Canis lupus familiaris: one gene and its partners. The protein of the gene in region 1 interacts with the protein of each later gene in a biochemical or structural test. Links are inferred from orthologs where the notes say so. Each region holds a gene or a part of one and is shown in the gene's direction. Other genes may lie near its edges. The genes, in order: NCOA6, HNF4A, ESR1, TGS1, RXRA, PPARG and THRB.

Region 1 (4,092 bases):
GTGTGAAGATCACTGTAATCACAGCCGAGAGAGAAAAGAAGAGCTCCCTAAGATAAGTCTGGAGATGTGGCAAGGGCAACAGTAAGACATCTATTTGGCCTTTATCTTAAGAGCAATATGGACCACCAAATAGTTTTAAATAGAAGGGAGACATGATAAAATTTCTGACTTAGAAACATTAGTCTGACAGCAGGGTGGAGAAAAGATTAAAGGGGAGCCAGGGAAGATGTGAAAAGGCCTTGGATCACTATTGCACCAGTTCAAGCCCACAGTGTGTGCTCAATGGAATGAAAGGACTCCAGTCTCCTTTTCTGAGATGAGATCAGTATGCCTGACCAGTTGTTTACAACCCACCGGCTCATCTTCTCTCTCCTGTGATGCTCATGACAGACTCTTAGCTCCCATTTCACAGATGAATAAGCCGAGATTCAGAGGCAAAGAAAGTCACATAGCTATCAAGAGTGAAAGCCAGGGATCCCTGGGTGGTGCAGCGGTTTGGCGCCTGCCTTTGGCCCAGGGCGCGATCCTGGAGTCCCGGAATCGAATCCCACGTAGGGCTCCCGGTGCATGGACCCTGCTTCTCCCTCCGCCTGTGTCTCCGCCTCTCTCTCTCTCTCTCTCTCTGTGACAATCATAAATAAATAAATTAATTAATTAATTTAAAAAAAAAGAGTGAAAGCCAGTTCTGAATCCAGGCCTGTACGACAGACATCAATTCCAGTACTGGACATTTGGGGAGAGGGAAGGAGCCACATTCTCTTGCACCTACTGAGCTTACTAGCATGATGGTGATGGGAAAAAGCAGAGAGGGACTTATAGGCAAATAATAAAGGCTAAAGGTTATCTTTATCACCGTTAACGTTATTGGACACTATGCGTCAGGCATTGTGCCAAGTGCTTTCCTTGTCTTCATTTCCTCTTTGCAAGCACTATTATTATCCCCTTATTTCAGATATGTAAACTGAGGCTTGGAGCGCTGACTTGCCCAAGCACACTCAGCCAGAGGGCTCCTATAAGGCTGTGCACTACTCTGAAACGGAGCCAAGAGCCACTGATGATATTAAGGCTCCAGGAGACAGAAACTCTCCCGACCCGGGCACTAAGCTCTGCACGCAAGTGAGCGGGCGCGCGCTCCGCCTCGCGCTCTCGGGGACGTTTGGCCACGTGACCAGGGCCCGCCCCCGCCCGCCCCGCCCCCTCCCGCGCTCCCACCCTCTCTCCCTCCCTCCCCCTCCCTCCCCAGCCCGGTCCGGCCCATCCCCCTCCCCGCCGGCTCCCTGAGGCCCTGCCGGGTCGGGCTGCGGGCGGCCGGGCGCCGACGGCCGGACAGACGGACGCACGCGAGGACGGACTGACGGACACACGGAGGGCGGCGGGCGCGCACGGCCCGGGCCGGTGCTCCGAGGCCCGCCCGGGAGGGCTGGGGCCGCGCTCAGGTGAGGTGACGGCGACGCGGGCCCGTAAGGGGTGGGCCCGCCGGGCGTCTGGGGTCCCGGTCCCGCTGGCTCCGCGGGAAGGAGGCGCCGCCCGGGCCCGGCGCGGGAAAATGGCGCCGGCCGGCAGTGGAACACGGCTCCTGTGCGGGCCCGGCCCGGAGCCGCCCCGCCCGCCGCGCTCGTGTCCCCGTCGCCATGTTGGGGAGCGGGCCCCGGGCCTGCGGGCGGGGGTGCTGCGGGGAGCGGGGGCCGGCCGGGGTTGGGGAGGGTGCGCGACGCGGGGTCTAGGGCGCTGAGGAAGTGCAGGGCCGGCTGGGGTCTGCACGGGGTGGCGCTCCAGGCCAGAGGAACTGGCGGGAGCCGAACGTGGGGTCGTGGCTGGGGGTCGAGAAGGGACACTGAGTCCAAACGGAACTGGGGCCAGGGTCCTTGAGGCTGGAGGCCAGGACCGGAGTTTAGTCAGGCTATTCACGTTCGGGACCTCGGGGCCGGCAGGACCCAAAGGGGCGTGGGGTCCACGCTCAGGCTGTCAGAGCCGGGACAGTTCTTTGTGGAGGCGCGGAGGGTGGAGGGGGGAGGCTGTGATTAGAAATATTAGAAATGGGGGCCCTTTGGATACAGGCGCGAGTATGAGATTGGAGCGGTTCTCTGAGTCGCGGGGCCGAATTGCAAGTCGTCCAACTCCCAAGAGACTGAGGACATATGTTCCCCTAGCATGTTCCACTCCCAATTAGGAAGAGCAGTGGAAAATAGGAAGACTGATGAGAAGAGAGAAAAGGGAGGCTGCGGTTCGGGTGCAGGAGCTGGCCAGCATAGGGTGGAACTGGTTGGCAAGAAGAAAGAACCTCCGTCAACTTAGGGAGTTTGTGTGTGTCTTTAAAAGGAGGGACCGGGCTGTTTGTGGGCGGTGACCCAAGGTGTCTTCCCAGGAAGGGGACAGCCCACTGTTTTAAGAGCAGGGTCACCTGGGGAGGTCATCACAAAGGCTTTTTTTGAAGCCAGTGAGAATGGTGTAGAAAAATGAATGTGTGAATGAAAACTACAAGGGTCTTAGAGATCACAGAACAACTTCAGAACGTGTAAGGATTTTAGCTGAGCCAGATAAAGTTGACTCCTCAAGATCTCACAAGTTCCTGGCTCTGGAGGTCCACCGCCTTAGTGGAATTTGTTAGCTCTGAGAAAATTGTTAAGGAGAGCTATAGCAGCAAATATCAAAGAACGGTTACTCTGTTTTTGTTTTGGTAATTAGTTTGTCAGTAGAAAGACTGAAGAGGAATACAAAAAAAGTACTGGTAACCAGCTATTTGATCATTTCCAGCCTACCTGCATTTGTGCAAAGAAGTTATCTTCAGAACCCTTTTGACTTCTAACTTTTTAGAGTTTTAAGAGATGCTCCTTCTGTTCTAGGGGTTTACAGCAAAGGGACACCAAAAAGTGAAAAAGATAACAGTGAACAATGGTACACACCCAGGATTTCTATCTTGATCAAACTTTAATTGAAGTTTGATCAAGATAGAGAAGAGTTCAGAGTTCATATGGGTTATGGAAGAATTCTGAGGGAAACTATGAAATATTATGAAATAGTAGTTACAGGCTCCCATAAAATCAAAAAGGACTTTCAACAAAAAGGTTATGAAAATGTACATAGCAAGTAAGATTTTCAATATATGTCCAGTGCGTTTATACTATATATGTGTGTGTGTGTGTATATATATATATATATATACACACACACACCCCCACACACACAGCATCAAGATTCATTTGTTCTGGATCTTTTTTTTTTTTTTTAAATTTATTTATTTTGAGAGAGAGCGTGCGGGTGCTCATGAGAGTGGGGTGAGGGGCAGAAGGAGAAGCAGACTCCCCGCTGAGCAGGGAGCCCAATGTAGGGCTCCATGCTGGAATTGCGAGATCATGACCTGTGCTGCAGACAGAGGGTTAATCAACTGAGCCACCCAAGCATCCCTATTCTGGATATTTCTAATGCAAGAAGGCCTGACTTTGTGCAGTAGATCCCTCTGCCATCTAGTAAAACTGCTCAGAATGATAATAACCCCTCTCAGAATAATATTTTTAATTGAGTAAAACAAAATACACTGTATTATAGAGAAAACCATTATATTGAAATACCAAAATACACAAATTATAAAATAGTGATATAGATATACTTTATCAATACATTAAGAAATCAGATCTAGTGATGGGTGTGATAATTACAATTTTAACACATGGTGAACATAAATAATATTTTGAGATATCAGCAACAATTGTAATATAATGTAAAGATATCTGTGGTAACTGTGACACAGTTACTGTCATAGATACTGCTAATATTAGAGTGGTTTGTTGCCTACAATTTATATTTGAAGAAAATGGTAACTTTCAGTTAGAGGTTAGTGAAAATAAATAGGTGGGGTTTTTTTCCTATCCAAGTTCACAGACCCCTCTGAATTCTGTCTGTGGATTCCCATCTGTGAACCCCAGGTTAAGAAACCCTACTCCTACCACCAGGCATATCTTCTATTCAGCAGACATTTACTGTGCACTAAGATATTCTAAGCATTATGCCAGGCTCTAAGGATTCAAAGGTCTTTAAGGAAGGGTCTTTTCACTTTAGATATTCAATCTTATGAGAGAAATGAACATATAAACA
Region 2 (3,500 bases), about 8.1 Mb from region 1:
ATATACATTGATTCAGTGAATCCTCATAACAGTCTTAGGGGATTATTATGCTCCCTATTTCACATGCAAGGAAGCAAAGACATGGAGAAGTAAACTCCTACAGCTAACGTCACACGGCTAAGATGTGGGCAAACTCAGACTTAAGCTTGGCAGAAGGACTACAGAGTGTGTGCTCTTGACTGCAGCATGATGCCCCCTCCAGTTCTCAGTGGGGTGTTCCCTAGGAATTCAAGGTCGGAGTCATAGATATATGAAAACATGTGTGCATATGCCTGCATGGTGTGCATATGCACGCATTTTTCTGAGGAGATGGTCCATGGTGTTTATCATCTTCTCCAAGAGGTCTATCCTTGATGGAAGATCTGCTTACAAAAGTATGGTTCAGCTACTGAAAGTTAAAAAAAAAAAAAAAAAAAAGGCAAAAGGCAAACAACCAGACCAGTTGAACTGGTTGCCTTTTACAGGTAGGGACACTGAGGCCTAGGGGACCTGAAGCAAGGAAAAGAAACTTGCCCAAGGTCACAGGTGAGTTAGGGGCAGCATCTGGACTAGCACCCAGGACCCTAAGCACCTCATCCACGATCTTTGCCACCTGCCTCTTATCACCCTTCTCATACAGATGCAAGCTTTTGCCTCTGAGACAGGTGGTATTTGAAAGATGCCCAGAACCTTGCCATGACCCTCCCAGGAGGACAAATGGGCCATTATGTGCGTCTTCCCATTCCCTGGGAGAGTTTTCAAGGCCTCTGGGTACATTGAGAAATGAGGGACAGGACCTGAGCAGGTTCTGAGCAGATGATAGGGGAATATTTGTCCCTTCCACGGCACCCTCTGCCCAGTCAGTTGGGGTCCCTAAGAGTCAGATGCATCCTAGTGGGTGGCCAGGTTCTCATTACTTCCCAGAGGAAACGGCCTTGCAGCCTCTACCATGGAGAAGCACACCCTCGCAAGGGACTCTGAAGCCATGTCACAACCATCACTAAGTAATAGATGCAAAATAGGAGTTCCAAAATGCCAAGGGACTTGCTCAAGGTCATTGAGGGAGTGGGAACAGCACCTGGGTCTGGATGAGGCTGAAGCCCTGTGGTGGAGATCCCCACAATGCTCATATTGGCTTCTGGATCTAAGCCATCAGGGGAGCAGAGCCTCTGGGAAGTGAATTCCTGCCTGTCCTGAGGTGTTACTCTTGTTTCCTCTGGTGCAGACACATCCCCATCCGAAGGTGCCAACCTCAACGCACCCAACAGCCTGGGGGTCAGCGCTCTGTGTGCCATCTGTGGGGACCGGGCCACAGGGAAACACTACGGTGCCTCGAGCTGTGACGGTTGCAAGGGCTTCTTCCGGAGGAGCGTGAGAAAGAACCACATGTACTCCTGCAGGTGAGGAGCCCCTGCTTGGAGCCCGATTTCTCTAGCTGGGAAATGGGTGCACTGAGGCTAATGATATTCCCCAGAATCTATCTTCTCCCTGACTGGGTCCCAGAAGCATCTGCCTTCTGAGGCCTTTAAGCTTCCTCTGCTTTCTTGTGCCTCAGGGATCCTGATGGGAACATCCTCTCTAGGAGCCTCACTCATAAAGCTACCAACTGCCCTTTATTGAGCACTTACTATATGCCAGATATACTGAGTCTTTGTGTGTATTTAACTGGCCCTACAAGCCCATCATTATTTTTCCTATTTATTTTTTTAAGATTTTATTTATTTATTCATGAGAGAGAGAGAGAGAGTGAGAGAGAGAGAGGGAGGCAGAGACACAGGTAGAGGGAGAAGCAGGCTCCATGTAGGGAGCCTGATGTGGGACTCGATCCTGGGACTCCAGGATCATGCTCTAGGCCGAAGGCAGGCGCTAAACCACTGAGCCATCCAGGGATCCCTATTTTTCCTATTTAGCAAATGAGGATCCATTTGGGATCAAGCTTCCTCTGAAGCTTCAGAGGATGGGGCCCATCCCCCTAACTTGGAGCTTTTCCTGGGGCCAATCTCTGATTCTTAGAGTCCATTGGGCCTTTCTACCTATCCCAAGGACTTTCCAAGGCTTCCTTTGACAACACCTCCCATTCTGAGTAACAATAATAAAATAATAGCACTCAGTTATGAGTAGTTGTCATTTACAGAATGATGCTGTGCCAAGTCCCATCCACATATTATCTCATTTCTACCCATCAACACGCCTCTGACATGGTTGCTGTAGATGAGGAAGCTGTGGCTTGGAAAGGGCCAGGAATCTGTCCAAGGTCATCCAACTTGAGTTAATGGCAGACCCATGTTGACGCTCAGGGTGCCACCCTTAACCACTGTGGGGTACTACTACTGCTTACAGTCCCCTCCAGAGAGTCACTTCTGTGGACCAAGTATGGACTCTGAGCCATAACCAGGAGCCTGCTATGGGCTCTGCACTTTCCTAGAATGTTGTAGAAAGAGTTGTCCCTGGTTCTCAAGGGGCTAGAGGTTCCAGCTCAGTTTTGCCATCAGGTTGCCATCCCAGACTTCGTGTCACCTCTCTGAGCCTCAGCAGGACAGGGCTAGAATTTTGGAGTCCATTGGGCCTTTCTCATGGTTAGCATGAGTCCTAAGGCAAGGAGGCAAGGAGGCTGGGAGTCAAGGCTGGGATGGCCAGGATTCCGTTCAGGCGGGCTGTCCCTTCTCCATCCAACCATCCATGCCCTCCCCAGGTTTAGTCGGCAATGCGTCGTGGACAAAGACAAGAGGAACCAGTGTCGTTACTGCAGGCTAAAGAAGTGCTTCCGGGCTGGCATGAAGAAGGAAGGTGAGCCCCGGCCCCCCTTCCACCTCACTGCCCCACCCCCACCCATAGTCTGAGGACGTTTACAACTGGGGCCACACACTTTATGACTCGGTGACAGGCCCCAGGGTGAATGGCTAATGGCTGAGAGGAGGGAGGGCCTGGCAATCTGACCACAGGGAGGGGCTGGGCTTGGTCTTGAGAAAGAGATAAGCTCTCACTCTGGGCTACTCAGGTTCCCAGCCGCCACCACCACCATGGGCAGCCCAGTTGGGCGTTTGCTCTAATATACTGTTTCAAACAGGAAGAGAGCCGAAGATGACATTGCCGATGCCCCTGTGCCCACCACCTAGACTCAGCCAATGTGCACAGTGAGGTGTGGGTGGGGGGAGCTCTCTTCCTGAGCTTCCAGTCCCAGGGATAAGTGCCCCCCCTTCTGTAGTCTTCACTCTTGAGTATCGGGTGACCCCAAGTTTTCACGTTCTATGGCGTGGGAACAATGTGTCAGACTTGCCCTGGGTGGAGGCAGAGGGGAAGACCAGAGCACAATAGCTGTGAAGGTCTCCCCAGGCCTCCCTTCTTCTACCAGCAGATGCCAGCCACTGGGCTGGGCTTTGATAAGAGTGACCAGTGACGTGGCACCCTATGTGGCCACCACTATTGTCATTCCCTTTTTTCCTGGATGAGAGGACTGAGGTCCAGAGTAGTTCAGCAGCTTACCTGAGGCCCCACAGCTGGTCAAGACCTGAGGTCTGCAC
Region 3 (3,500 bases), on another chromosome or scaffold:
GAAGGAAGGGAAGTTCTTGAACCACTTTTATACTTAAAAAAAAAAAAAAAAAAAAGACCTCCCTCCTACATGGCCATATGGCCTCTGTTCTCTTTTTAGATACAATGCTAACAGTGGGGAATAGAACCTTATTGGAATCAGTGGAAGGAAATCACTTGTATAGCAAATCCTGAAATGGCTCTTTAAACAGGGAGATAGGTTGGCCTACAGGTGTCTTTGGAGTTTCCCTTACTTTGGTCCCTGCTGAGGGGTTGCAGCAGCTCTAGGGCTTGCGCTACTCTAAAGTGGTCCCTCTGTGTGTCTTCCCACCCACAGTAACAAAGGCATGGAGCATCTGTACAACATGAAGTGCAAGAATGTGGTGCCTCTCTACGACCTGCTGCTGGAGATGCTGGATGCCCACCGCCTGCACGCCCCAGCCAGCCGTGGGGGTGTGCCCATGGAGGAGACAAACCAGAGCCAGCTGGCCACCACGGGCCCAACTTCATCACATTCCTTGCAAACGTATTATATCACCGAGGAGGCAGGGAATTTCCCTACCACAGTCTGAGAGCTCCCAGGCTACCCCAAGGTCCTGAGAATCCCTGTACCATTTTACCCACGTCATGTATCACAATAGCAGAGTTCTGCTCCTGCGCACACTCCAGCATGCATCCACCACCATGGCTTTCTAATATGAGTGGCCATTTGTTTGCTTGCTCAGTTCTTAGTGGCACGCCTTCTTTTGGGAACAGCCAAAGGGATTCCAGGGCTAAATTCTTTCACTCTCTCTCTCCCTTTGCTATAATACTAAGCATGAGGATTCTATAGCTTTTCATGATGGAACTCAGTCTATGAGCTGGGACTCAGGTGACTGTGCATTTAAGCTACTTGTTGAGACCCAGACCTGGAGAGTGGACATTTCATCTCTGTGAAGCACTTTTTAACAAATCTAAGAAAAAGCCACAGGAAAGACTTGAAAGTGGCCCCTTTAATTTGCTGACTTGGAGAAAGCTAGGTCAAGGGTTCATTATGGCATCATCTTGTATTCCTGTAGTAATGTAACATTTTATTAAAGTAATACCTTAAAGCTTTTGCTCTGTTGCATGGCTGGAGCTGAATATGCAGTGATTGTCTCTTCATTTGCCCTATAGGAATACAAGATGCCCACAGAGAAGGAAGGTCCCCTAATTGTCAAAACTCTGTCAACTTAATACACTGCACCTTCAGATTTGCTGAAAGCTCTTCCACTGGTTTTTGAGAACACTATGTACAGGTCATGGGTTCCAGTTAATTCTTGCTTCCCATGGATCTATGGAAAACAGCAAGTTGATCCCAGTTAAGTCACCTCCACATATACCAGTTTCCTTTTAAGGGATAAATTCTTGGCCTTTGTTTTTTTGTTTTCATTTTATGAAAGAAAGCCCTTTCCCCGCAGGACTTGTAAATCAGCTTCAGAACCTGTTCTAGCGTGGTCTCACAATTACCAGCAGAGGGCGCTCTGCTTGGTTCTTCCTGGTGTGTAACTGACACAGAAGGTCAATTAGTAATAGTGCCCAGCATATGACCAAGGGCAGTTTAAATGAGTGGGTACCTGGTGACATCGTTAGCCCTAGGGCACTTGGGTAAATAGTAAACGTGCACAATTATTGTACATATTAGAGAACAGGAGGAAAGTAGGGTGGAAACTAAAACTGAGAGGCTCACGGTGGCTCTGCCACATGCTGTAGCTTTACACAGGAGTGGCCCTGGCAGGCCCTGTGTGCACTGTGGGGCAGCCCTGGGATCCATGGGCAGCCCTCCTCTTCTTGCCCCCATGATTGGAAGGAACAGCAATAGACAAGACAGCTGCATTCCTACAGCTGGCCCTGCACGTGGTTAGGTGAGGCTGGAGGGTGAGGATAGGAGGCTCACTACTCAGGCTGCCTGGGATCTGGTCAAACTTTACCTGCTCTTGGTTGTTTAGAGCTCATCCAAAAACCACGGTTTGGTCTTGGAGAAAAAACTTTACCCAAAGCTCATTTCATTAAACTTCATAAGCCAAGAGAGCGAGATTAGAATTGGGCTATAGGAATCCTTTGACCTATAGGCTAAACAAGAAAGACTCACTCCAGCCACAGGGCAGCCTTCCCTAGGCCTTTCCTTCTCCAGATCATCTATGGTTTATCTTTCTTCTCAGTGAGTTTGGTTTCCTCTGGTGACCTCATTGTCTATAACTCAAACCCCATTGAGAAGTGATGGGTTAGCGAACAACCCAGCCAAGCTTCTAGGGCTTCTCTTGGGATGCCTGTTTCAAAAAATGGATTTCTTTCATTTTTGATTACTTAGTAAGTGATCACCAAAGGACTGGGAGCCTGGGAGGGCCAAAAAAAAGTTTTGTTTTTTTTTTTATATATGCGCATCTGAATTTAGGGGCAATATTGTGTATCTGCAGTAAGAATATGTTTAGAACATAATTCTTTTGTTGTTGTTTTGTTTAAGAAGCACCTTATATAGTATAATATATATTTTTTTTGAAATTACAATGCTTGTTTATCAGACAATTGAATGTAGTAATTCCATTCTGGATTTAATTTGACTGGGTTAAATGTGCAAAATCAACAAAAGATATTTAGTTTTTTTGTATAGCTACCTTGTCATGTATGCAGTCATTGATGCCTAGGGCCTGGTGATTATTCATTTTAATGAAGATCACATTTCATATCAACTTTTATATCCACAGTAGACAAAATAGCACTAATCTAGATGCCTATTGTTGGATATCGAACGATAGACAATCTTATGTAGCAGAGATTATGCCTGCAAAGGAAAATTATTCAGGGCAGCTAATTTTGCTTTACCAAAATATCAGTAGTAATATTTTTGGACAGTACCTAATGGGTCAGTGGGTTCTTTTTAATGTTTATACTTAGATTTTCTTTTAAAAAAATAAAAACAGACAAAAAAATTCTAGTACTATAGATGATGTAATACCAGCTAAATCCAAACAATAATGAAGTGGAGGGTTTTGCATTATTCATCTAATGTGTTTGTATTCATGTTAAAGATACTACTACATTTGAAATGGGCAGAGAACACCAGATAGTTGGAATGTTAGCACAGCAAAATTCAAATAATTTTAGATATCTCTTTTTATTCTTATTTGAAGTGCCACTAATGGACAGCTGACACTTAGCAGCTGATACTGCTGTTGGGGGTAGGGAACATGTTGAATTCCGCCCCCCTCCCCCACTCTGAGGCAATTTAAGTTTTGAAAGACGTAATCAACCTGGGGGGTTAGGGTAGGGTGGGGAAGTAGGTTCAGGAATTTCAAGACTGGGAAATACAGTAATAAGAGCCTTGAAATATTTTGAGGCAGATCAGTTCTGGCACCTGGAGTATGAACCAGAGTTCCATATTCCACTTGTGCCCTGTGAACTACAAATGACAAGCATTTCTAAAATGGCAGCTGGAATTCTATGGAAGAACAAGCGTCCGCACAATCTACGGAGTAGCTAGTGGTCTGGGTTTCTTTTGGCCAT
Region 4 (4,074 bases), on another chromosome or scaffold:
AGAACGTCCTCCAACTTCTAGCTAAAATCTTCCCCTCTGACAATTACTAGTCTACCTTTTTTTCTTAACCTACCCTCAAACCCCAGAGGCTGTACATCTACACTGGTGTATTTGTTGTTAATTGTGCACCACTCTAGCCCTGAGTCACTGAAAGGAGCCTATCTCAGACACTAAAGTGAGGCAGCAGCAGTAAGGACGTGGAAATAAACATTTCACTTGAAAATCCATCTTCCATTTCCATTCAATAGTAAATGCGACCAAAATAGTTGGGACTGTCTTAAATATCCGGATTTTAACTCAGTTTCTATACATTTTAACGAAGTAACAATGCCATTCCGGCATTAATAGCACAACCAAGTCCTAAATGCTCCAACCACCTTCAAGTTTGAACTTGTCTCTTTGAGGGAGCTGCGTGGACCGTCTCAACGACTAGCACACACCAAGTCCTAACTGCCTTTCCCACACCCAGCAGGGGCGGTCCAGCTCCCGACTTGCTGGCTCCGTGCCCTTGCATCCTCCCCACCCTGCACCAGCAGCTGCGGGCAGAGCCCTGTTTTAAGGCTGAAGACCCCGGGACCAAGGGCAGCGCCTGGGGCTTACAAAGCAGCTGTCCCCTAACACCAGTCACGGTGCACGAGAGGTCTGCGGGACACGGCTTCATCTGGTCCTTCCAGCAGCCCCAGGAAGCAGGCGCCAGTCGACGTTCGCGTTCTCCAGACTATCACGGAGGCTCAGAAGGGCTCGGTCGCTGGCCCGGATCCCACAGGTAGCGAAGGAGCATCACACCCGGACTCAAGCCCGGCGCGTCTGGAAGCCGCCTTAACCACCCATCTCCGCTGCCTCCCGAGTGCACACGCCCGTCATCACCGCGAGGCTCGACTCGGATCCGGGAAGAAGGTGGCCGGGCCAGCCCCGAGACCCCTGCCGACGTCGCGACAACCCTGCCCCGCCGCCCAAGCCGAGACCAAGCAGGGCTCTGGGGCGCGGGGGGGCGGGGGATGCGCGGCGGGGTGAACCGGCTCGTTGTGACCCAGGCATATCCAGCCCTCCCCGCCTCCCCACCGCCCGGCCTTACACCGAGCACCGGGAAGCCCGGCCCGCCCCGGGTCCCGCGGGGGACTCCGGGGGCTGCCCGCCCCCCCCCCCCGGAACCCCCCCGGAACCCCCCCCCGGAACCCGGAGCGCGGCCTGGGCGTTCCGAGCCCCGCGCCACTGACGAGCGACGTGCGCCCGGCGGGGAGGAGCGCGGGGAGGCCGAGATGAGGACCGACGCACCTCGGGGGCGAGGGAGCGGGGAGGGCAGACGCGGCTCGCTCTCACCCTCGAGCAGCGGCGGGAGCTCTTCGGTGGCTCAGCGACCCAGGCAAGAGGAGAAATTTCAGCAGCCGGCTTCCCCGCCGAGCAGCCGGTGAAGAACAAGACGAACCACGGCTGCAGCCCGGACAGCGCAGAGTGTGACACCGCCTTCGCCCCGCCCCTTCCCGTGGGCGCCCGGAGCCACTTCCGGCGGCGGCTTCTCGGCGCCCTCCAGGCTCGAGCGGCCCCGGGCGGGTTCGTCACCCCTGACATCCCCTCGGGCGCGCCGGCCAGACCCCCTTGGGGCCTCCAGGAGCCGAGCAGAGGTCCGGACGGCCGGTGCCGGGCTGCCCCCCGCAGGGCTTCCTGCACTGAGGTAAAATGTGCTGCGAGAAGTGGAGCCGCGTGGCCGAGATGTTTCTCTTCGTCGAGGACCTGGAGGAGGATGCTGGGATCCTTTGCCTCTGCTCCAGGGCGTTTGTGGAGTAAGTCAGAGCCTATTCCCCTTCATCCCTGGCACAGTTGCTTCCCAGAAGCGTGGGCCTTGCAAACGACTCGGAATTGGGATCCCCGCCCCGAGTGTAAGATTTGCACAGGGTGATGTTTCAGGAAGAGCCCCCGGACCTCACGGACAGGTCGCCCACTGCCCCTAAGTGAAAGAGAACATCTGCTCTGTGGGCTGCTGTGGGGAAACGTGGCAGCTGGTTTATTCCGCTTTATTGCGGGGGCGGGGGGGGGGACGTTTTAAGATCAGGCGAATGAAATGTAAGATGAAATCTTAGTGGATGTGACGTCACAGGTTGAAGGCTTTAAGGTGACTTGTTGGTTGACATTTTTTAAGACCTTAAGTCTTAGTAAAGTGCAAATGCGCTTAAAAAGAACTTCTAATTACCCGAGATAAAAGACTTAATTATAATCACGTCAGTTTTGGAGCTATATTCTTGGAAAATACGTGTTTGAGGTAAAAATTGCCCTGCATGGAAGAGAGCCAGTGAACAGGAAAAAACGGACTCAAGGATTGGACTCTAGGGAGGCTTTCTTTGTCTTAGGTGTGTAAGTTTAGCCGCTTGGATCTTTATTTCATCCCTAGAACAGGTATTTCGACCCCAGTTATCACACAGGCTGGTGGTTGGATTCAACTTGTGGAAGCGAATTTTGCGTGCTAGACTTCTAATATACGTTACCGTGGAAGAATTTAAGTGAGAAGACGTTCTTGCTGTCGGTCGTGCTTTGTGGAGTAATCGGGAAATTGATCCAAAGGGAAATTAAACGCTATCTTTAAAAAGTATTGTCGTCTTTGTATGTATACATGCATATATTCACTCCACAAATGTCTCTTGTGCTTCCTTGTATGAGGCACACTGGTAGGCACCCGGGTGCAGGACACAGCCCTCCCTACACGCTTTGAGTTTACTTTCTAGCAAAGGAGGTCGATATTAAGACAAGAGTTACATAAGTATTTAGCTAAGCACTGTTGTAAGAGCTGTAAGAGAGAAGCGCAGCTATATATGATAGCAAAAACCTAACGTTTCTCCACAGATCACAGATTTCTTTGAGGAAGTAGCATTTGAAAAGATGTCTAAAGAGTGGGAATAAACTGGGGTATATTTGAGTGGGAGGGAGTGACGGGCAGAACTCTGTGTACAAGGAAAAGAAAAAGAAAGCCAAGGCTACACACTTACTTCTTAGCCTGAAGCTGGGTTGAGTCTTGGGATGGTCTTCAGGAAGCCTCCTTTCCAAAAAGAAGGAGAGGGAACCTAAGTTAGAAACTGTAAAAAGTGGAGAAAAATTGTCTTGCTGGACTCCTGCAAAACAATAATACTAGGTTTTAATTAAAGCACCTTTATTTAAAATACACTTTAGGGATCCCTGGGTGGCGCAGCGGTTTGGCGCCTGCGTTTGGCCCAGGGCGTGATCCCGGAGACCCGGGATGGAGTCCCACATCGGGCTCCCGGTGAATGGAGCCTGCTTCTCCCTCTGCCTGTGTCTCTGCCTCTCTCTCTGTGACTATCATAAATAAATTTAAGAAAAAAAAATAAAAATAAAATAAAATACACTTTAATTGCCATGCAAATCACCAATTACTTTGAATTTAGTCCTTTTTTTTTTTTTAAGATTTTATTTATTCCTAAGAGACACACAGAGGGAGAAGCAGGCTCCCTGTGGGGAGCCTAATGTGGGACTCGATCTCAGGACCCCGGGGATCATGACCTGAGCTGGAGGCAGACGCTCAACCACTGAGCCACCCAGGTGCCCCTGAATTTAGTCTTTTTGAACTAAAAGGTTCATCTTTTAAATTTCAGATAATTTCTTATGCATTCTTAAGACTTAAAAGCCCTACTTACTTTTAGAAGCTACATTCTGAATTCAAAATAGGTAAAGAGAAAATAATGGCTTTTAACTTTAGATCATTTAATGCCCAAATTATGACCCTTTAGAACGAAAAGAATGTGATCTTGGAATTATTTCTAATAGTCACTGAGAAGTCTTTGGGACTTGGAGACATGCTGGAAGTTCACAGGCTTATTTGTATAACCTTACCTGGTAGGGAAAAGGTCTCTTTCACAGTCTTAAAACAACAGATCAGTTGTTAGCAAAATTCTAGAATAGATTATTAAACGGAAAAAATAGTCCATGTAACAGAAAACAAAAAATGAGCATTAGCATAGGTGCCTAATTCCTTCTCAGTATTCAGTTGATTCTCATACTAAGTAAGGTTATTGTACACCTCTCCTCAAAGGCAGGAAATAAAACCTAATATCATAACTAATTTTTATT
Region 5 (3,500 bases), on another chromosome or scaffold:
ACAGGCGTACCAAGTGGAGACCCGTTTTTGCTGAGACCAGGGTCCTCAGTGCACATCCTGGCAGTGGGGCAGGAGGGACAGGTGAGCCAGGTGTGCTGGTGCTGGGCCTCCAGTGGGGGCCGGCAGGGAGCACCCCCCACCGAGCCAGCCTCCTGCCCCACTGGGCCACCTGCACGAGCTGGGTGCTGCCAAGTGCACCACCGGCGGAAGGCTGCACGACACCAGCTGTATGCCAGGCCAGTGCTGGGCGCTGCGGGAGCATCCCAGGGCAGCCCATGTGTGCTTGGGGCAGTGGGAGAGGTAGCAGCCGGCCCAGAGGTAGGAGGAGGCTGGGCATGCCCTGTGGGGGATGGATGGCAGGGAGACAGAGTGACTCCAGAGTGATCCGCAGTGGGGGGAAAATGCACTTGGGGCCAGCTCTGCCCCCGGCAGAACTCTTGTCCCCGGGCTGTCGGCCTTGGGGCCTGGAGAGCCTGTGGGCTTGGGTGCCTATGGGCTTGGGGGCCTGTGGGCCTGGGGCCTGGGGACCTGGGGGGCCTGGGGGCCTAGAGGCCTGGAGGCTTAGGGGCCTGGGGGGCCTGGGGGCGTAGGGGCCTGGGGGCCTGGGGGCTTGGAGGGCTTGGAGGCCTGGGGGCCTGGGGGGGCCTGTGGGCTTGGGGGCCTGGGGGCCTGTGGGCTTGGGTGCCTATGGGCTTGGGGGTCTGGGGGGCCTGTGGGCCTAGGGGGCCTATGGGCTTGGGGTCCTGGGGGCTTAGGGGGCACCTAGATGCCTGGGGGCCTGTGGGCTTGGGTGCCTGGGGGCCTAGGGGACCTGGGGCAGGGCGTGCCTTCTGGAAGAGCTTTCCCTCTAGCTGGGGCTAAATCCCCACACCCAGAGCCATCAGGGGAGGTGGTAGGGGCGGCAGAGGCCTGGGTCCTCGCCCTTACTCACCATATGACAGGGTAACCCCTACCCTGCCCTGGGCCTGTAGGATTGTAGTCAGGATGATGTGTGACAGGCTGTGTGGGGCCATGAGTCACGGAGCCCGGGGAGTGTGGCAGTGTCAGTGCTGCACCTGTGGAAGCGGCTTGGGGCTTCCCCGTCCACAGGACTCATTGAGATCCCAGCACAGAAATAATTTCTATTTCAAGTTTTGCTTCCATACTTTCTCGTAACCCTTGACACCCACCCCAGTTGTCTGCACCGGGATCTCATGAAAATACTGTCCGGTTCGCCTGAGGCTTTAACACACCTTATGTCAGTTTAAGAATTTATTCTTTTGCGGTGCCCCCCGTAGCACATGGGAGTCTGAGAGTTTGCTGCTGAGACCAGGTTGGCAGCAGCTGCCCCGTGGTGTTCCACAGAGAGGCCCTCTGTCCTCCATGGCAAGAGTGTCCGGCACTTGTGGGAGGAGACTTCCTGGGCACATGGGCTTGGGAGCACCTGGGTTGAACAGAGCCAGAGGGGATGCTCCGTGCAGGACTTCTTGGGAAACTTGTTGCCCTAGTTGGCATGTGGCTCAGAATCTCGGGGTCCGCGGCACCTGCAGTGGGGTGTTCTGTGCTGGTGCGGCCCATGGAGGGCGGAGTGGCCGACCCATCATGGGGAGGGACACAGCCACGTGACCGTGCACCCTCCCCTCCCCGCCCAGGCTGGAATGAGCTGCTCATCGCCTCCTTCTCCCACCGGTCCATCGCCGTGAAGGACGGGATCCTTCTGGCCACCGGACTGCACGTCCACCGGAACAGTGCCCACAGCGCGGGGGTGGGCGCCATCTTCGACAGGTGGGTGCCCCGGGCCAGGTTCGTGGAGGGTGTGGATGTGGACATGGAAATTGGCATACAAGGACACAAGTTCAAGCCTTTGCACGTCCATCCACCGGAGACTTGACGACCCCAGCGTAATGTGAGGGTTCATTTCCTCCCGGCTCCTTTCTTTAACATCCTGTATCCCGTACGTGGAAAGAGGCGCCGTGCTCCTTGGGCGGAGGTTATACAGCAGGTGCAGTCCAGCAGTGGCCCTGGGTCTTTGGAGCCGCAAGCCCTCGGCTGCATGTGTGCCACTGCTCCTCCTCCCCGACCGCAGGTGGGCGCGCGCCTCCCTGCACCCCTGCGTCCCCTGGCTCCCCAGCAGAGGGGCAGCACTGGGCAAGGGGGCGGCCGCATGTCTCCATTCTAGCTGCTCCCCAGCCACTCAGCCCGCTGGAGGAGGAAGGGCCGGGAGGGACACACTGTGGGCCATGGGGGCAGGAAGGTGGTGGCAGGGCTCCCAGGGAACCCCCGAGCGGAAGAGCCTGGGGTCAAGGGTGCACAGACCCTCCCGGGAATCACCCACAGGAAAGTGAATGCAGGAACTGTGCTGCCCTGCGGGCAGTTCTGGTAGAACGGAGAAGGAAGCCCTGGAGCCCACTGGGATGTGCCAAGTGCAAGTAGGGGTTGTGGCCACATACACTGGCAAGCACTGGTTTTGCAGGGGATAGGTGGTGTGTCTTTGTGCAGTACTTCTCAGGGCCTTGAGAGAGGAGCCACCAAAGGCTGCTGGGAGTATGGCACTTCAGTGCCCCCAGAGGCCCCTTGTAGAGAGTGCAGTGCTGGGATGGTACTTTGGTTTAGAAACGCAGCCCCGCCACACTCCCAGCTGCTAGGGCAGTAACAGGGACAGAGGCTTGGGCTTCTACCCAAGGAGCAGCGGCACAGGGAACCAGCTACTTGCCATTCAAGTGTGTGGAACTTGTGACCCCTGCCTCAGGGCATCCCCTGGCCACAGAGTGGTGGACATCCGAGCGCCCGTCCCCTCCCACCCTGTCTTCGGTCTCCAGGGGACCGTGTCCCTCTCCAGCCTGCAGACCCTCGGGGACTCTGGCTCCTTGGGGTGACCGTCCAGGCCCTCCCCAGGCCACTGTCCTCTGTTTCCCTATGGTCCAGCCTCACTGACCACTTAGCACTTCCTGGGCACAGCCATCGAGTTTGGGGAACCAGAGACTGGGCTGATGGGGTCGGGGAGCTCAGGCTGGGGATTTGGGACCCCATGGGGCGGGCCAGTCAGGCTTGGGTCAGAGTCCCGCCCTCTGACAGAGCGGGAGGGGAGCCCCAGTCCTGGGCTGGGCAGCATCCCGGGGGGTGGGGCCTGTCCTCCAGCTGCTCCCTGGTCCCCATCCAGCCTCCCTAGCCCGTCCTGGGGGTCTTTCTGGGGCGGGGGTGCCCTGGTGAGGGGCATGGTCTGACTCAGGCCGTGGTGTTTGCCTGCTTCCTCTGCAGGGTGCTGACAGAGCTCGTGTCCAAGATGCGGGACATGCAGATGGACAAGTCGGAGCTGGGCTGCCTGCGTGCCATTGTCCTCTTCAACCCGGGTACAGCTTTCCTGGCATGGCCTGCCGTCCGGCCTCGGGCCCGAGAAGCCCACTCGTGCTGCAGACTAGCCATGCCGCCTTCTTCTTGTGGCTCCCAGGAGTGGGACGCACGGCAGCCACTGCATGCAGCGGGGGGTGGAGGGCGGGGGGGTGGATCGAGAGCCGTGCTTG
Region 6 (3,500 bases), on another chromosome or scaffold:
AGCTTGGTAAAATATGTTTGGTTCCAGAAGACAATTAGGAGCAATAATCAGGAGATGAGAGTACTTTCTCATTAAGTATCTTCAACCTTAAAGATTTTAGTTAGCGAAGCAAATGTGTATAAAGAAACTGGAATGGGATTCACCCTGAATTAGAGATCTCCAACTCAGCCACTTCCCTTTTTTTTTTTTTTTTTGCAGCCATTTGTTATCTATGACATGAATTCCTTAATGATGGGAGAAGATAAAATCAAGTTCAAACACATCACCCCCTTGCAGGAGCAGAGCAAAGAGGTGGCCATTCGCATCTTTCAGGGGTGTCAGTTCCGCTCAGTGGAAGCCGTGCAGGAGATCACAGAGTACGCCAAAAGTATCCCTGGTTTTGTAAACCTTGACTTGAATGACCAAGTAACTCTGCTAAAATATGGTGTCCATGAGATCATTTACACGATGCTGGCGTCCTTGATGAATAAAGACGGGGTTCTCATATCAGAAGGCCAAGGATTCATGACAAGGGAGTTTCTAAAGAGCCTGAGAAAGCCCTTTGGTGACTTCATGGAGCCAAAGTTTGAGTTTGCTGTGAAGTTCAATGCACTGGAATTAGATGACAGCGACTTGGCAATATTTATAGCCGTCATTATTCTCAGTGGAGGTAAGATGCATCTTTTGATCTTTCGTGGAAGAGGGTGGGACAGCAGTATGATAATTGGAAGAATTTTGACATCCTTTTCTCTGTACTGCACTTTCATGCAAAAATATGCCAGTGGCATGATGCCATGAGAGCATCACTACACAGGTAAAGTACCAGGAGAGAAGATCATAGATTTGCTGTTGGAAGGCTGTGGGCAACCCCAGCCTTTCCAGTCAAATCCAAACATGAAAAACAAATGCCCTCTTCTTCTTTTTTCTCCTTTTTTTTTTTCCTTTTTATTTTCTTTTCCCCTGTCTTTTCCCACCCCTCCCCTTCTCTCTGTTCACTCTCCCTTCTCCTTCCCTTTCCTTCCCATCCCTTCCTTCCCTTCCAGCCAATCTATTCTTCATTTCATTTAAGTAATGACATGTACAACTTTGCTTAAGTCACAGTGCTCACTTGGCATAGAGAGAGCACAACTAAGTGGTTTGGGGCAGATTTTGTTCCTGCTCTACCATCAGGAAGATATTACTTTGAATTGCTTTCCTAATATCAGGAATCGAGTAATATTTATCTACTGACTTCCACCTATTCCCTCAGGTAGATTTATCTGATGGCTTCCCTTAAAGTAACTTTGTGAGGTGGTTGGCTGTGATTAAAAATATAATCTGAACCAGAGAGCACAGAGCAGAGAAATAAATTGAGTTATTTAGCAATTCATTGTATTTTTGGCCTTGCAAGTACATGATCTAACTGACAACTCCAAAGCCAGGTTTTATACTAAATGCTACTTTCATTGGCTACTCCACACATTTCCAGCTTATGTAGAAAGTTTTACTGTCATGTCTCTGTATAAAATTGTCTTTAAGCAATGAGTTTTCATTACTGAAATGGACTTCAGGTGAGCTTTTTGTGTGTACTCTACAGACAGAGGATACTCTTGGCAAAAGCTGACGTGGGGAGGGATGGTGGTCCTATAGATGTAAACTGTAAACTATATAAGATATTATAAAGAACATGGTGTACTCTGTCCTCCTTTGTTGTCCAATTACTTGAGAGCAGAATACTTCTGAAATCGGGTGCCTGATTACTACTAATAATAATGATAGAAAACACTTAAATACCTACTGTCTTCTAAGCAGTATCCTAAGCACATGATACACGTTCACTTAATTCTCCAGCCCAGCAAGAAAAGTACGTTTTGCAAAGGAGGAAGCCAGAGCCCTGAAAGGTTCAGTCACTTGCCCAGGGCTACGCAGCTAACACAGGATAGAACCAGGATTCTGAACTCCGGTAGTCTGGCTCCAGAGTCTACAGTAATACTGCCCTTTAGGTAACTTGGGTGCAAATAGATGACAGTGCAGCCCAGGTTAACTCTGGAGCCTCCACTGCAGTGTCAAGTTGTAACTCCTTTAAAAATGGTGTTTGGGGGGTTATATTTAATGTAACAAAAACTACTGTCCAACATGTTGTAATACCTTAACTGAATCTACTTAAACAGATCACCCCTCGATCCTCTGGGATCCATGATCAATTCAGCAAAGAAGAATAAGATTCTAGTTTATTTGAGGTGCATTAGGAGAAGAAACTTAAATTTTGAAGCACTAGATGAGAAAACAGGTTGTTATTGCTTAGCTAATAATTTGAGGCACATTTTATTTTTTTTAGGCACATTTTATTTTTAATGCAAAATAGAAATATTAACAGTTGATATGTTTCTAAGTTTTTTCCTGAGCATACCATATATTCCATGTTTATATTCAGTCATTTTCCCCACGTCATTATGTACTCTTTGTTAATATTTTTCATTAATTTTTGAAAATAAAAGTAATACGTGGTCATTTCATAATTCAAAGGGTACAGAAAAGTGTGAGTGAAAATTAAAGGCCTCTGTCCTCAGAATAAAATAAGATTAACAAAGTCCTATTCCTCCTCCTGAAAAGTTTCTGTCCATGTGCTAGCATATATATGTATACACACTACCATTTTAATGACTATAAAATATTCCATTTTAAAAAGGACCATTATATACCAAATAATCTCTTTACTTATTTTTTTTAAGATTTTATTTATTTATTCATGAGAGAGAGAGAGAGAGAGAGAGGCAGAGACACGGGCAGAGGGAGAAGCAGGCTCCACTCAGGGAGCCCGACGTGAGACTCGATCCCAGGTCCCCAGGATCACACCCCAGGCTGCAGGCAGCGCTAAACCGCTGCACCACCAGGGCTGCCCAATCTCTTTACTTAGGATTGCTAATTTAAAAACCTATCAACAAGAACATAGAAAATATCAAAAATGTGTTCTAAATTTTTGTTTTAGTGAACATTATTAAGTGTAAATTTCTGTTGAAATTCCAAATTATTTTCTCATTCTAAAGTACCAGAAGTGGAATTGCTGGGTAGATGATTATAAATATTTTGTTACATCATTGCCACATTGTTCACCACAACATTTATGAGTTTATATTCCCACCACAGATATACTAAAGGAAACATTTGAAATAAGCTATTCGAAGATGATTAGTTGCTAGCCAGGGCAGGTTTACACAAGAAACAGTCATGATAATTCTGGACTTTTTTGAACAAATTTTGGGTTTGTTTTGTTTTGTTTTGTTTTGCTTTTTAGGATTTATTTATTTTAGAGAGTATGTGTGTGCAAGCAGGGGGAGGGGCAGAGGGAGAGGGGGAGAGAGAGAATCCTGAAGCAGACTCCCCACTGAGCACAGAGCCCTATTTGGGACTCTATCCTAGGACCTTGAGATCATGACCTGAGCTGAAATCAAGAGTTGGCCACTTAACCAATTGAGCTACCCAGGCGCCCCAGCAAGCAATGTTGTTTTATGGGCCTGTGAGACAACAGGGTGTTTTCATCT
Region 7 (4,180 bases), on another chromosome or scaffold:
CCAACAAGGTCACACACTCATGGGCCAGCAGGAACCCAAATGTAAATGTCACCCCCTGAGTCCCAGTCCTACCAACTAAGTCTCTGGAAGAAAGAGAAAGAACCCCTAGCTTCAAAGAAAGCAGCTTTGGCCCTTACTGAATCATGATCTAGAACACGTGCATATAGTGGACATACACGTGCTTATCCACCCCTTAGTAATCATCTTAGCAAGCAGTTAGGGTCTAATTTGATATTTGTTCACATCTTAGTTAAAAGATATGGTGATTCATATGGAAAATGCTTTTCCCTCTTTAGAAGGTCACTGTCTTTAAACCTCAAGCACATGAATACTACTTAAATCACATTTAAACTTAAAAATGAACCCAAAAGCAGATTTGATTAGAAGAAAATGGTGAATGTACACTGTTTCCCACAAACTACCTCTAAGAGTGCCGTTAAGCACAAACGGAGGGGGAACTGCCGTAAGAGAGGGAATTCTTCATGAAAGCGTACCAGCACATATACTCTCCCTCGTGTGCTTATAAAGAAAACATAAAAACCGAATGAGCAAAGCTAAATTAAGCTTTAGGTCTCATGTAGATTAGTGCTAATGATGTAGAAAATTATCAGCTGCAAGGAACAAAACAGAACTCACAGACACCAGTGGTGTTTTCAGAAGTGGCTTTCCTTTCCTTGGCATGTTGCTAAAACCTGTGGAACCTGTGTGTCATTAGGAGGATGGTTGGAATCAGTAACATTCAACAGATTTAACCACCAACATTTGCATGACTAGATTAATGTTTTGGAGTCAGTCATCAGGCTCGTTACTACTGGGATTTTCTCTGGGTCATGCTAATAAACCGGATTATTGATTTTAGGATTTTCTGCGTATCCAAGGATATTGTCTAAGATGTCTTTACAATGTTTCATGCTTAAGTTGTCAAGCCACATGACATCGCAATGAGTAATCATTTTCTAATCACGTTAAAAGGGGTTAAAAAATGGCATATAAAATGAATCTTCCCAGATTCAGAGGAACAGGAGCATTCTTGCTGTTACTCTTCCAGCGGGGTGATGGTCATCCCTACCTGCATGCCATCTACCCCAGGAATTAGCTGCGTTCTCAGCTTAAGACCCTTTGATAGAAATCTGCTTTCCAATATGTTTGAATGGCAGGAGAGCCCAAAAGACAGCTCAATCTAAATAGGATTTTAGTACATCGGGTGCTATTCCAAAGTAAAGCAGGCTGGGGTTGCTGTGTGGTGGTGGTGTTTATTCATCTTTCCTTTTCATTTCATGCGTATGGATGGACACTTCTCGGCGTATATGCCCAGCTCTCAGGGTGTATGGGGCTGGTGAATGCATGTGTAGAGTGTGTGTATATGTAAAGTAGACACTGAGCCAGGGTAACAGAATGAACTACTGTATGCAAGAAGTATATGAAGTGCACCCAGCTGCCGGCAGCAATTGCTACATGCAGGCCACTGATTATTACACGTATTTCGAAGATAGTCCGGGTTACAGTGGTTGCAACGCTCAGGCTGTGCCCAGTAACAACATATATATGGAACAGGCCTGGGCAGTGAATCAGCCTTATACCTGTAGTTACCCTGGAAACATGCTGAAAAGCAAGGACTCTGACTTGGACATGGCCCTGAATCAATACAGCCAACCTGAGTATTTCACTGAAGAAAAGCCTACTTTTTCTCAAGTGCAGTCGCCATCGTACTCTCACAAAAAAGGTAGGGACCATTTTACTAAATTTGTTAAAAGTTTCCGTGTTTGTTTCTGTTGTGTTTTAAAGTTACAGTTTGCATCAGCTTTGTCAAATCTTTGACTTTAAGCGCTGTTTGAAATTAAAAACAGCAGTAAAGAGAGAGGTTGCTAGGTGATTGAAAGGGGTCCGTGAGCAATAAAGATTTCCAAGCACTTTTTTTTAAGCATATATGAGAGCTGGATTGAGCTGACTTTTTAAGCTGTGTGTGTGTGTGTGTGTGTGTGTGTATACATATTTAGATAGATAGATAGATAGATAGATAGATAGATAGATAGATAGATAGATGATAGATAGATAGATAGATGATAGATTGTGTGTATTGCCTAAAGTGAATAAGGTCAGTTTCTGTGCTAAAGAAAATATGTAAAAGGCTTCCCCTTGGTGGATAGGCACTGTGGCTTTTGAAGTGGGATAATTCTCCCCAGTTCAGGTTCAAATTAAAAACTCATTTGACTTTTTCTTGATATTTCATATTAAAAGTTCATTAATAAAATATTTTAGTGATTTTTAATGATCGTATACTGTTGATATATTAGGTTTTATAATTGTTCATCTTGATATGTTTACTGATCCATGTAAGCTGTGAAGAATCTACTCATGACCATATTAAGCTATAAGAATGTAAAACTCAAAAAGGAACTAATATGCTTTCTAATTCCATTTTGTCCCTAAAGTATTATGTGTCTGGAATCATGTTAAATGAATTCTCTATATGAAAGTAAGTAAAATACCCTTCAAAATATGCTAAGTGAAAACAAGTGCAAATCCATTTATCTTAATAGACACTGTAGCTTTACAGTGCTGTGTAATTTTCTATCAATGGAAAATTTCTTGTATACCAAAAAATAAAATAAAGTAAATAAGCAGGTAGTACACAGGAAACTCAGTAGCATCTGCCAGATACTTTGGAAATAGCTTAAATTCTATTCTATTCTTAAATATGCCATAAACTCTTTTTTTTCTGTGTACTATCTACAGGATATTGCATAGGAAACCAAATTTACAGGTTTCTGTAATTTGCAAAAATATGATGCCCTTTGATCCTCAAAGGTCAATTTCTCCATGAAATTATCTTAAAACAATGTGGCTTGGTTGATTGTGGTTCCTATAAAAATTATTTGTTTTTCTTAATGTGACTCTGTAATTAAAAGTAGCCTGTTTTGAAAACAAAGCCTAAAAAAAAAAAAAAACCCTCAAATTCCTGTTTAGTTTTTACCATATACTATGTTTGAATTTTCTGTCCTGTTCTCCAACTTCCAAATATGAAATATAAAGGGAATTATAGCAGAAAACATATTTAGAGTAATTTGTCTGCATTTTCCTCTAGTTTCACATCCTCTTGAAGGGTATCAGAATTTCTCATTTATCACATGGGGACACTACAGAAGTCCTCTAATGGGAATATTTGAGATAGGCTGAATGTGTGCTTTCTGTTTCATTTAATATTATACTTATAAGTAATTTATCTTTGAAAAGAAGAAGTTAACATTGCCTCATTAGACATTCCTGGATGTGCATTTCACAGTGTTGTGGGACCTCAAGACAATATTGGTGCCTGCCTCTCTATTGAGGCATTCTGCTATTCTTAAAAATTCCTGCAAAACTTTTCAGGCTCTTTTACTCTTTTGTTCTTTTGTCTTTACACGATATCTTCTTCAAGCAGGCTGGAGAATATTTGCTCATAAAACGTTAAACCAGATTCTTTGCTAATTAATTTGCCGCTTGAACTAGAGGCTAAGACACATTGTATGCATATATTGATGTAATTTCCCAAAGCCATATGCCATTGAAAGGCCACTGCCACCTGCCAAACTCACTAAATCAAAGCAGGCAAATATTCTTAAATGCGCCATTATTTACTGTTACAAGTCTCTAAGTAAATCCCAGTAAAACTAAACCCAGCTGTTAACTGTCTCTTTGGACAAAAGGTTGTACCCAACACGTTTATCCATATTGATCCATTATTGATTTTTGTTGTTGTTGGAGGACATCAGTAGTATCTCCTTAAGGCAAAATTAAGACTCTAAACAGGTGTTCAGTGGGGCAGACCTCATTATTCCGATTGGATTTTTATCTGTTTTCATGAAATTCGTAATTGTTTCATCTGGATTTGTCGCTGTCACTACGACGCTATAAACTCTTCCATAGTACAGCTGTCTTAACTTTGTCATTGTTTTTTTTAAAGATGGCTTATTCTTTAGCCCTTAATTGGAATTTTCTAGTATTTAGAAAATGATCATAATGCTTGTAAAAAAAAATGTACTGTCAGTACACATAGATGAAATAAAGGAAGACTACAGAATCCAATGTCAAGACTAGTTATCTTAATGGTAGACATTAGAATGATTTTAGTTCTCTTTGTGTTGTTTCTTGTGTGTTTTTACGTCTGTAGCCAAGCGAGTTCCTGAAGCATTGAGGGCAT

What was found.
Region 2: the proteins of NCOA6 (region 1) and HNF4A form a complex in vitro, tested with the Homo sapiens proteins (2 studies listed by BioGRID). The link is inferred for Canis lupus familiaris from reciprocal best matches to the Homo sapiens genes NCOA6 and HNF4A.
Region 3: the proteins of NCOA6 (region 1) and ESR1 form a complex in vitro, tested with the Homo sapiens proteins (4 studies listed by BioGRID). The link is inferred for Canis lupus familiaris from reciprocal best matches to the Homo sapiens genes NCOA6 and ESR1.
Region 4: the proteins of NCOA6 (region 1) and TGS1 form a complex in vitro, tested with the Homo sapiens proteins (2 studies listed by BioGRID). The link is inferred for Canis lupus familiaris from reciprocal best matches to the Homo sapiens genes NCOA6 and TGS1.
Region 5: the proteins of NCOA6 (region 1) and RXRA form a complex in vitro, tested with the Homo sapiens proteins (5 studies listed by BioGRID). The link is inferred for Canis lupus familiaris from reciprocal best matches to the Homo sapiens genes NCOA6 and RXRA.
Region 6: the proteins of NCOA6 (region 1) and PPARG interact in a test that uses a peptide from one of them, tested with the Homo sapiens proteins (2 studies listed by BioGRID). The link is inferred for Canis lupus familiaris from reciprocal best matches to the Homo sapiens genes NCOA6 and PPARG.
Region 7: the proteins of NCOA6 (region 1) and THRB form a complex in vitro, tested with the Homo sapiens proteins (2 studies listed by BioGRID). The link is inferred for Canis lupus familiaris from reciprocal best matches to the Homo sapiens genes NCOA6 and THRB.

Annotation. Positions count from the first base shown.
Region 1 is NC_049245.1:24,403,259-24,407,350, reverse strand, and holds the start of NCOA6 (nuclear receptor coactivator 6), read left to right. Parts: upstream 1-1,292; 5' UTR 1,293-1,436; intron 1,437-4,092. UniProt on the Homo sapiens protein: Nuclear receptor coactivator that directly binds nuclear receptors and stimulates the transcriptional activities in a hormone-dependent fashion. Coactivates expression in an agonist- and AF2-dependent manner.
Region 2 is NC_049245.1:32,510,052-32,513,551, forward strand, and holds part of HNF4A (hepatocyte nuclear factor 4-alpha), read left to right. Parts: intron 1-1,204; coding exon 1,205-1,379; intron 1,380-2,671; coding exon 2,672-2,766; intron 2,767-3,500. UniProt on the Homo sapiens protein: Transcriptional regulator which controls the expression of hepatic genes during the transition of endodermal cells to hepatic progenitor cells, facilitating the recruitment of RNA pol II to the promoters of target genes. Activates the transcription of CYP2C38.
Region 3 is NC_049222.1:42,770,821-42,774,320, forward strand, and holds part of ESR1 (estrogen receptor), read left to right. Parts: intron 1-315; coding exon 316-550; 3' UTR 551-3,500.
Region 4 is NC_049250.1:7,736,830-7,740,903, forward strand, and holds the start of TGS1 (trimethylguanosine synthase), read left to right. Parts: upstream 1-1,274; 5' UTR 1,275-1,677; coding exon 1,678-1,781; intron 1,782-4,074. UniProt on the Homo sapiens protein: Catalyzes the 2 serial methylation steps for the conversion of the 7-monomethylguanosine (m(7)G) caps of snRNAs and snoRNAs to a 2,2,7-trimethylguanosine (m(2,2,7)G) cap structure.
Region 5 is NC_049230.1:50,625,113-50,628,612, forward strand, and holds part of RXRA (retinoic acid receptor RXR-alpha), read left to right. Parts: intron 1-1,631; coding exon 1,632-1,764; intron 1,765-3,237; coding exon 3,238-3,329; intron 3,330-3,500. UniProt on the Homo sapiens protein: Receptor for retinoic acid that acts as a transcription factor.
Region 6 is NC_049241.1:6,222,751-6,226,250, reverse strand, and holds part of PPARG (peroxisome proliferator-activated receptor gamma), read left to right. Parts: intron 1-198; coding exon 199-649; intron 650-3,500. UniProt on the Homo sapiens protein: Nuclear receptor that binds peroxisome proliferators such as hypolipidemic drugs and fatty acids.
Region 7 is NC_049244.1:19,936,910-19,941,089, forward strand, and holds the start of THRB (thyroid hormone receptor beta), read left to right. Parts: upstream 1-1,380; 5' UTR 1,381-1,395; coding exon 1,396-1,723; intron 1,724-4,180.